3 linked regions of the Coturnix japonica genome follow. The protein of the gene in region 3 purifies or fractionates together with the protein of the main gene of each other region. This does not show direct contact. Links are inferred from orthologs where the notes say so. Each region holds a gene or a part of one and is shown on either strand. Other genes may lie near its edges.

Region 1 (3,129 bases), about 12 Mb from region 3:
ACCTTCAACAGTTGCATTTAGGGGGGCTGCCTTGGCTACCAGTGCCCATGTTCAGCCCCTTGCACAGCTGCTCATGCTGGGAACATCCACAGCCTTCCAGCCCAGCAGAGCCCATGTGTTGTATAGTGCTGGCTTCCTTCTGTATGGAGCTGAGAGCACAGCACTGGGTGGGATTCAGCCTGTGCTGCCTCCTCCCCTGGGGGGGGATGGAGGCATGGACTGAAAGGGGGGAACTGGGGGTTGGTACAGAGGTGCTGGGTGTCTGGCAGGACCAGCTCCGGCCTGTACTGGCTGCGTGGTGCAACACTGACTCTGTTGTCAATAAAAACAGATACAAAGGGCGGTGGCGGTGAAAACTCCCTATGGCACTACCCAGGCGAGATGCTGAGCCTGGCCTCCATCAGCCCCACGTCCCTACCTTGGTCCTCCCTTGTCCTATCATTGCCTACCCATCTAAAAAGTCCATTCCCCTCCTGTTTATAATCCCCTTTCAAATCCTAGTAGGCCGCAGTGAGTTCTCCTTGCAGCCTTCCCTTCTCCAGGCTCACATTAAAGTTTTCCACCCCCCATGGCCGCCTCCTCTCCCTGCCAGAACAAAAGCACCGAGTCACGATGCAGCCACACTTTACTGGGAGGCATCGAGTCACTTACAGCAGGAAGCAGAGCAGGGCCCAGCTCCCCGCACCGCCGTGCTGTGCCCACTATGGCCGGGTGCTGGTGCCGTCAGCCAGCAGCATGTCCACCTCCGTGCGCTGCAGCCACAGCCGCTGCTGCCGCTCACTGCGCAGCTCCTGCCCGCGGTGCCGGCTGCGACAGGCCAGCCCGGCCGCGCAGCTCCCGGCGTGCAGCTGCTGGCAGGTGGTGCAGCAGAACGCGGGCAGCGAGCCCTGCTGCAGGCACGAGTGCAGCTGGTAGGAGGGCAGCTCGGGGAGCAACGGGGGGCTGCTGCCCAGCTCCCCCTGCTCCTGCTGCAGCAAGAAGCCAGAGGAGGAAGGGTCTGGAGCAGCAGGGCAGGGGAGCAGCTCCTGCCGGAGCTCGCTGCGTTCACAGCCGTCCCAGTCCCTCCCGAGCACGCCCTGCAGTCCCGCAGGGTCCCGCTGCAGCTTGTTCAGTGCTGGGGGACTCACATCCCGCTCCCCACCACGTTCAGGGCCGTGTGCCCTCTGCAGACAGCGATCCTCACTGCAGCCCGGTACATCCCCGTACCGCTCCCTGTCGTTGTCCCGGCCCGGCGCCGCTTCCCGCAGCATCTCCACGCAGGTCTCCATGTCCCCGGCGATGCGTCGCGCGTCCAGCAGCTCCTCGACGCTCGGCAGCTTTGGCTGCAGCCGCAGCAGCAGCTCGGCCATGATGTCGCACTCGATCCGGCAGGCGAAGAAGCCGCAGGCGGCAGCGCTGAGCTGGGATCCCGGCGGCGGGCGGCGCACGGCGAGGCGGCGCTGGTCCAGCCGCGTGTAGCCCAGCCGGGCCAGGCTCCGCAGCAGCTCGGCCTCGGGCAGCGCCGCCCGCAGCACGTGCACGTAGGCTCCGGAGAACGTCTGCAAGGACAACGGGGCGGCACGGGGGGGTTCGCTCCTTGTACCCACCGGCACCGCGTCCCGGCACCCACCTGTATGGAGCGGAACTCGGAGCGCCAGGGATACAGGTAGAGGTTGAGCGCCGCCCGCTCCAGCAGCTCGAAGGCGGCGGCCAAACCCCGCAGCGCCGGGCCGGGCTCGGGGCGGCCCCGCAGCGCCCGGGACAGCAGAACGGCCGCGTCGTCCTGCAGCGCCGCCAGCAGCCCCGGCTCCGACCGCAGCCGCTGCCGCAGCCGCTCCGCGAACGACGGCTCGGGGCCGGGACGCTCGTGGTCCCGCCGCAGCCCCCGCCGGTACTCGAACCGCACCGCGGGGCCCGCGCACATCCTGCGGGTCAGCGGCCCGGGACCGGACACCGCGCGGTACCGGTTCCGGTACCGGTTCCGGCCCCGTTTCCCTCCCGGTCCCACGCCCCGCCCGGCGCCCCCTGCCGGCCGGGAGCAGCGCTGCACTTGCCGGCGGCTCAGGGCAGGGTCCGCAGGAACGTGAGAGCGCTCTGCAGCGATGTCAGGCAGTAACCCTCCTCACCCAGCAGCCACCTGCACAGCACCGGGACAGCACCGGTATAACACCGGGACAACACCGGTATAACAAACACCGGTACAACAAACACCGGTACAACACCGGTACCCGGTGGGCTGGGGGCGGCAGGGTCTCGTCTCGCCCCCCCGGCTCGTACCCCTCGTGGATGAACTCCTCCAGCGCCGCACACTCCGACGGCAGCTGCGGCATCGCGCTGCGCAGCACCGCGTACGACAGGAGGGGCAGCAGCTCGTCAGCACCGCTACAACGTGCATCGGGGACACGTCAGCACGGGACACGGGGGGACTCTGCACCCACACCCCGGTCACTGCGGCTAAAGGACCCCGGGCCCACCGCCATGGCGATGGGATCATTGCCCCATCGGCCCCACACAACCAGCACGGCACCGCCGGGCCACAGCACGGCAACAGAACCAGCAGCTCCCAAACGGGAACAGCAAACCCAGTGCAGTACCGTTAACAACCATCAGGAACCATCAGCACAACCCACAGCAGGGACCACCGGGCTGACACACACCCCTACGGGAGCCCCCAGCCCACACACAGCACAGGGACCCTCCAGCCCCCGTCCCCACCCCACGGCAGCAGGGCTGCACCCCGCACTCACATGGTGCCAGCACTGGGAGCGCTGCAATACTCCTCGGCGCATTCACAGATGCTGCGCAGGGCTCTCACTGCAGCACAGAGCAGAGCACAGCGCTCAGGACCATCCCATGGACCCACAGCGCCCAGCTCACACCGCCCCGGCCCCCACCGATGCAGTCCAGCTTCCTGCGGGGACACGTCTCCAGGGGGATGAGGCGCAGCTCCTCGATGGCAGCTCCATAGGGCGGGCGGCTGGACGTGCTGGGGAAGAGCCGAGGGGACAGCCCCAGGTCTGCGGGGCTGGCGTGGCGGTGCCGCTCCATGCTGCGAGCCAGGGCTTCCTCCTGGGGCCGGTGCACGATCCTGGGGACAACAGGGTGGGGGATGGTGGGGGGGGGCTGTAAGAGCAGCCCCCAGCTCAGCCC
Region 2 (3,652 bases), on a different chromosome or scaffold from region 3:
TTTTCTTTCTTCAGAAAGCAGGTGTTCTGTTTTGCAGTGTCCACAATTAATATTTTTCAGAGGGTTTTTCTCCTGGGCACCAATTTTGGAGCTTTTATTATGAAGGTGCCTCATTTTTCTACTTGTCACCTTGGGGAATCACCTAAGGATGATTCTGCTTTACCCTGGTGCCTAAAAATTTTCCATTATGTCACTTTATATTGGAGCACCTACTTTGTTTCTTTAACTTTAGCTAGGAGTGCTTACTTTCTTAACATTTACTGTTAAATGAAATTGTGTGAATATCTTTTTCCTTTAGAGGTTATCAATTGCCCTATCAGCGTTAAAACAAAATTTTTGCTTTTGAGTGAAAAAAATAAAAGCTGATTTTTAAATAAGAGCAGCGCCATGGTGGGGATTTACAGTGCTTAGCTTAATTTCTCTGCTACATAAATTCATCAGGGCAGAACAAAGAAATATTGTATTGCAAATCTATTGTTAGGTGGCAGCAAAAGCTTTCAGTTTGCAGTTGGCTTTACGTACCTTTTCCTGAAAGCTTTTAGTGATGATGCCACAAGTCTTTTATGTGAGAATCAGTGTGAAGGAAAGATCAAGGGATCCAGTAAATTCTGTGGTGCAGCATATCAAATTACTCTTGGGACAGTCAATTAAGTATTAATGTACTAAAGGAGTATTAAAATTATGTCAAAAATGTTAAACTTTTTTTGCGTGTACTACTGCATCAGAAATTAACAGTGGGATAAGCAGTAATATTTTTTTGATACTGCTTTATTACTAAGTTTTAGTCAAGAACTAAAAAGGCTTAAGAACTATCTCTTGTAGGTGACATACTTAAAAAGTGATTACGGATGTAATTTTCCTAATATTATGACTTCCTCTGAGTTTTAAGTATTAAGGCATTTAGACTCTTGTAACAGATCATACAGTCTAAATGAAAATATTATAATTTAGATAGAATAAAGTGAAAGAGAAAAAAAGTACTATAAGCTCTGAGCTCTCTTTGTCAAAATTATTTTTAAAATGCTTTGAGATAATTGGATATTGAAAAGTGATGCATCTGCTATCCCTCCTAGGCCTGTTATATAAGGAAACAATAGGACATTCCCCCTTATGCTAGGTACTGGTTTCGAACTATCACTTTTCAGAGTTAGTTTTCAGCTTCAAACTAACTAGAATTTCCTTGCTTAAACAGGAGTACAGCATTACTTTCCTATCATGGGCTGTCTGTCGGCCACTGTGTACCACGGGGTCTTCACTCCTCTATTGGTACCAAGTATCATTTCTAGTCAGCTTTGTCCACTGAAAAGGGACTTCTTCAGACCTGTCAGAGACAAAAGGCGTAAAGGTTGTCACTTTCTTCTTACCGTGCAGGAGTTTTGACAAAAGGGGGAGGGATGCAGTTATTTAGTGCTTTGCTCAACACAGCAGCATTAAAGCTCTTGCTGGGCTCCTATCTTGCCATCATTGGGAAGAATCAGTTTAAAAGTGGAGTGCCTAAGATGGAGTGAATGTGTAGCTAGAAGTGCTGTCACCGCATAGACTCAGAGATTGTTTTACTTCCCTTATAATGTGTCATCATTAACAGCTACCTTTTGAAGAGAAAGCTGACTTTGTTATTACCCTTCAGAATTTTTTTTAATCATTAGCCACGTTCAGCTACTGTGATACAAGTATAAGGGGTTTCAGAGTTATCAAGTTCTTATGAGTTTTGTAATATCAATAGATGAGAGAAGTTCAAATGATTGCCCTTGCTTAGAGAGTACATGGCTGCATCCTGTTTATTCAGTTTGACTTTCATAGTCCAATCTGCAAGAACTGGTCTTAGGAAATACTGCTTCACTAATTCCTACTTATGAAATGCTTTGTCTCAATAATACTTTCTTATTACATATTAATTTTAAAAATCCATGTTATTTATAAATATGCTGTCATTATCATGTTATTAATCATTCACATTTCTTTCAGTATTTGCATGAGTTAGGGCAACAAAACATACAGTTTTCCTCTTTTAGTTTCTGAATGTTGTTATATTGCCTGTATGTCTTCTGCACCTGTAACTTAGACTTATAAATATTTAGCCTGTGATCAGGGAACTTGATTTAAATAGTGGCATGACAAAAACATTAAGAAAGGTAAACAGAGAAGAAACAAGATGGTGAATTGGAGAATCTGCTAATGTTTTACGTGGTAACTTTATGATTCTGCTAAAGACCTCTAATTAATTGAAAGCAGAGGCTATGGCAAAGATGACTAACATATTATGATTAATGTGGAAGAAGCAAGCTCAACAAGAATATTTAGATGAAGCAAGGTTCAGTTCTGAATTCAAAAGATCATTGAAATGTAATAAATTGCATTTGGTGTTATAAAACCAAACTGACTTCATTTATCATTTCGGGATTATTCCAAGTGAAATGAGCTGATTTCCAGAGAGAGGCATTCCTAATGAACATACTGTCAAATTATTTCAGACTTAAGTTAGCTTAAATCAAACAGCTTTAGAAAACCTTATTTTCTTAGGAAAGCAAATATGAGGTAAAAGGAAGTATATAGAGCTATTTTTCACATGGAACTGTACCTATTAAAAATGAGTTATAGAAAAGTTACGTGAAAAAGAAACAGAGTATATTTCTGATTTCTTCCAGGTAGCAATTACAGTGAAAAATGTGACGTTTTCAGTTGGGGTATTATTCTCTGGGAGGTAATCACCCGCAGGAAACCTTTTGATGAGATTGGTGGTCCAGCTTTCCGCATAATGTGGGCAGTTCACAATGGTGAGTTGAAAATGTTTGACTGCATTTCAAGTTGTATATTTCACCTATAAATTTGCTAAACATTGTGAAGCATGCATTTTTAAATTATTAGTTTTTCAATTCTATATTTAATAAGGACTTCTGTCATAAAGATTAAATATTAAGACACTAACACTTCTATGTTAGTGTGGTTTTTGTGTTATTTGGCTGCTGCATTGTTTGCATTTCCTGCCGCATGTAACCACTGTACAAATACACCGTGGAGAAAAGCAGTACATTTATTACAACTCCCCATTTTAAAAGATTGGACAGTGGTCTGAGTCATGTACTTTAAAAAAAAAAAAGATAGCTCCTTTATCTTTATCCTTTATTAAGTAATTAACCTATATTTTAAAATGTAAAAACTGTTAAATTCTGCAGGTCCTTGGGGAACTATAAATGTCACTTTGTTTTTCAACTGTTGTTGTGTCTTTTATTCTGCTGTTTGAATTGTTTTATCTAGGGTCCTGCAGTCAAGGAGCAGGAACACTTTACTGTACTAGGTATTTTACAGAACCATGTCCCAAGCACTTTAGTATAATGTACAGGAGAAATTATTGAATTAAGATGGACAAAGCAGTGGTACAATATTAGTCAAAATAGTAGATTGTAAAATCTTAATTCTGGTAGTATGGCTTTCTTAACAGAGTACTTTCAGTTACCATGGCAAATCAGAGTTGTAAGAAGAGGGCAGTAATGGTAGGGGTATAGCTAGCTCACTGAATGTCTGCAAAGAGTTTCTGCCATTTGTGAAAAACACCATCAAAGAAAGAATGAACTTGTTTGGATGATCTAATTAACAAGCAAGCAATGATGGCTGGCACTGTGCCTGAGAATTGTAGTCATATTTTCTTTTTTAT
Region 3 (3,652 bases):
TACTGCATGTTTCCATTGGTTGTGTGATATAAGTTGTAGGGTTATAGCAGTTTTTCCTCATCCAGTTCTGTCTCTGGTATTGTGAAGTGACAAACATCTTCCTGCATTCCTCCAGCTTACCACTTCCCATGCAGGACATGCATTAATTCAGATGTAGTTGCAGATATATGTATTGATTTGACAGCTAAGCCTCCCCTTTGGTAAGGAGAGGGAGATGCCCCAAACAAAACCGGAGTTAACATCTTGTTTTTGATTCTTAACAGTTGCTGAAGACCCTGCAAAATCACTTACTGATTCATCTCCTGGATTTGGGCATTCTTCACCACCACTGCAACCACCTTTAACAAACTCTGTGACTACAGAAAACAGATTCCACTCTCTCCCTTTTAGTTTGACAAAAGCATCAACTACTAATGGTGCTATTGGACACAGTCCTCTGTCTTTATCTGTTCAGTCGGTCATTGGTGATGTAAATACTACACCTAGCCAGGAAAGTCCATCAACAGGAGGCCCTGTTGGTAACTCACATGGTCTTGAAGCAGGTTCCTTGGCTGAAGTGAAAGAAAATCCGCCGTTCTATGGAGTAATCCGCTGGATTGGCCAGCCTCCTGGGGTAAATGAAGTATTGGCTGGACTGGAACTGGTAAATATCATCTAATAAGTTGATTCATATTAGTATTAATTATCTGCTTTATTTTTGAGAGTTGGTGCCTGTGTACTTGGCAGTAGTGGTCAGTCCAGAAGAAAATTTGTCTGAAGTTGCTCTGTGATCTCCTTGTAACACAGATGAAATCTCAGATGGACTCTGACTTTCACAGATGCCCTAGGCCTTATTCCATTAATAGGCTCTGAGGTGGCTTTGTGATGCAAAGCATAATTGAATCAGAAGGACTGTAGGTGACTGATTTGCTTTGTAGGTTACTTGCTTAAGGGGAGTGTCCTTTGTCCACCTTACTTACTGAGCTTGTCACTGAGACGAAAAGCCCCATGCTATTTAAAGGTTCTGCGATATACAGTTCTGTAAAATAAATAAATAAAGTCCCGGGTATAAGAGCCTCAAGTGTGTGTGGCACACCAGCAGGCAGGCAGTGTCAGAGCCTGTCAGCAGAGTTGCAGTACTGATTTTGGTAATCAATGGAAGCATTATTTGTGGTCTGACAGCTAAGTGTTTGGTGTTCCTACCAGCCCTTCACGAATTCAGTTGCTGAAGACAGATGTGTCATATATCATCCACAGCGACGCTGAAATTACTCATGCTTCCAATGCTTAATGATTTCACTTGAGTTCTAAAAGATGGTTGCTTTTTCTACTGCAGAGGGTATCTGGATTAAGAGGGTAGCTTAGTTAAAGTCCTTAAAGTTGAGTAGGTTTAATTCTCGCTCTCATCTCCCGCCTCCCCCACGTTTCTTATGAAGAAAGTGCAATGCTTAATTTTTTCAGTAAATCTGGGCAAACAGCACCTCAGCTGAAGCTTTGTACACACACTGAAAAGCAGCAACATTGCTTATTAAGCTTCAGAGTACTCGACGGGTGATTTCTTGGGTAGATATTTTAATTCAGCATCACACGACAGAATTGTGGAAATAAGGAAAAGCAGTGAATTCTCACTTTAATTTGCAGGAAGATGAATGTGCAGGTTGTACAGATGGAACATTTAAAGGAACCCGATACTTCACTTGTGCTCCAAAGAAAGCTCTTTTTGTTAAACTGAAGAGCTGCAGACCGGATTCCAGGTTTGCATCACTACAGCCAGTTTCCAATCAGATTGAACGCTGCAACTCTCTAGGTACCAAGTTTCTGCTTATTTATTATTTGTCAGCCGGGAACTGACACGGGGTTTGGTTTCATTGAACACTTGGAGATCTCTATTGGCATTACTTAGAGGTTCATGAATAGAAAATCTATCTTTATAGAATATAATGCTTCTCTGGCTTTTTTGTACTTAGTGGTAATTTAAGGAAATGTCATAAAACTTGGGAATTTATGTTGTATTTTTTTACTTCAGAAATTGTGAAGCAGTCTTGCTGAAAAGGGTATTAGCAAATCCAGCAATGTGGGATTGCAGTATCAGAAATAAGCCATATTTCTGTCAAATTATGTTTTCCTAAATACTGATAGAAAAGAGTGTATTTGTACAATGGAAATCAATGGTGGAAAAGCTAACTTTTTTTTTTTTTATTCTAATATTATTAGCTTTCTTGGGTCATGTCATTTTGCTTGGGAGAACAGTAGAGGATAAAGCATCTTGGTATTAGCATGATGGTGCGAACAGGGCATTTAAACTGGGAATTTCACTCCTAATGGGCAAAATTAATTCAGTGCTGCAGGCTATCTGAAGTACTCCTGTGTGCACTGTGTGGAATGTGAGGCCTTGTTCACTTTCTGGAAGAGAGTGAGTCTTATATAATAAAATGCTATTTTTGTCTGGAAATTGAATGTTTTGTGCTAAGGCAGCAGTTTAGCTATAAAACATTAATAGGAAAATCTCAAGGGGGATAAAATTGGAGGCTTTAAAGTGTCTTTTGAAAAAAAAATTTCAGCCTTTGGAGGTTACTTAAGTGAAGTGGTAGAAGAAAACACTCCTCCAAAAATGGAAAAAGAAGGTTTAGAGACAATGATTGGAAAGAAGAAAGGTATCCAGGGTCATTACAACTCCTGTTACTTAGACTCCACCTTATTCTGGTAAGTTCACAATTTGTTTAGTGGCATCCCAAGGTGTGGGTTAGTGGGAGGTATGTTAGAAACACAGAACACGCAATCCTTGTAATGATACTGTTTTTATTGTTGTGCAGCTTAAAAAGTCATACATTACACTCTTTAGCACATACTATGCCCTTTATGTTTGGAGAAGTTCTGCAGGATTTGTTGCTTAACTTGAAGTGCTAACCAGTCACCCGTGTGTCCGAACTCTACTGGCCTTTCAAAGGGTATTTAAAGGGAGCTTATAAACAGGAGGGAAATCAGTGTTGTACTAAGGTAGATAGCAACAGGATGGGGGACTGGTTTTAAACTAAAGGAAGGGACATTTACATTAGATAAGACATCTGGGGGCAGTTTTTTACCTTGAGAATGGAACAGGCTGCCCAGAGAGGCTGTGGATGCCCCATCCCTGGAGCTGTTCAAGGCTGGGTTGGTTGGGGCTCTGGGCAGTCTGATCCAGTACTTGATCTAGTGGTTGGCAACCCTGCCTGCAGCAGGGGAGTTGGAACTCGGTGATCCTTGAGGTCCGTTCCAACCCACACTGTTTTATGATTTATATTCTTGTAGACAGTGTGAGTCAATGGACTTTTGAAGGATTAGAGAATATGTGGGAGGGTCAGAGAGGAACACTTTTAACCTGCTTGTGGAATCCTGCCTTGGTAACTGGTTTTGTATTCTGGTGGTATCAGGGTATGCAGTTAGAGTAGACCTTTACTGCTTGGAACAGCTGTGTTGTCTTGTGTCCATAATGATCTCATTTTGCACTTGTTTTGTTCTTTCATTCTTCCTGTTGCTTTGCTTTGCTTATCTTATGTTATTTAGGCATCAGAATGGTTCTATCTTCAGAATCAAAACCAACCTGCCTTTTTCTTTCTTCCATAGCCTGTTTTCTTTTAGCTCCGTTTTGGACACTGTGTTACTCAGACCTAAAGAAAAGAATGATGTAGAGTAT

Evidence for each region.
Region 1: the proteins of CYLD (region 3) and SPATA2L purify together in Homo sapiens (affinity purification with mass spectrometry; 3 studies listed by BioGRID and IntAct, with this or other methods). This does not show direct contact. The link is inferred for Coturnix japonica from reciprocal best matches to the Homo sapiens genes CYLD and SPATA2L.
Region 2: the proteins of CYLD (region 3) and MAP3K7 purify together in Homo sapiens (affinity purification with western blotting; 4 studies listed by BioGRID, with this or other methods). This does not show direct contact. The link is inferred for Coturnix japonica from reciprocal best matches to the Homo sapiens genes CYLD and MAP3K7.

Annotation. Positions count from the first base shown.
Region 1 is NC_029526.1:16,724,888-16,728,016, forward strand, and holds SPATA2L (spermatogenesis-associated protein 2-like protein), read right to left. Parts: upstream 1,934-3,129; 5' UTR 1,904-1,933; coding exon 1,610-1,903; intron 1,539-1,609; coding exon 702-1,538; 3' UTR 608-701; downstream 1-607.
Region 2 is NC_029518.1:68,414,053-68,417,704, forward strand, and holds part of MAP3K7 (mitogen-activated protein kinase kinase kinase 7), read left to right. Parts: intron 1-2,645; coding exon 2,646-2,774; intron 2,775-3,652. UniProt on the Homo sapiens protein: Serine/threonine kinase which acts as an essential component of the MAP kinase signal transduction pathway. Plays an important role in the cascades of cellular responses evoked by changes in the environment.
Region 3 is NC_029526.1:5,107,666-5,111,317, reverse strand, and holds part of CYLD (ubiquitin carboxyl-terminal hydrolase CYLD), read left to right. Parts: intron 1-263; coding exon 264-643; intron 644-1,620; coding exon 1,621-1,786; intron 1,787-2,540; coding exon 2,541-2,682; intron 2,683-3,582; coding exon 3,583-3,652. UniProt on the Homo sapiens protein: Deubiquitinase that specifically cleaves 'Lys-63'- and linear 'Met-1'-linked polyubiquitin chains and is involved in NF-kappa-B activation and TNF-alpha-induced necroptosis.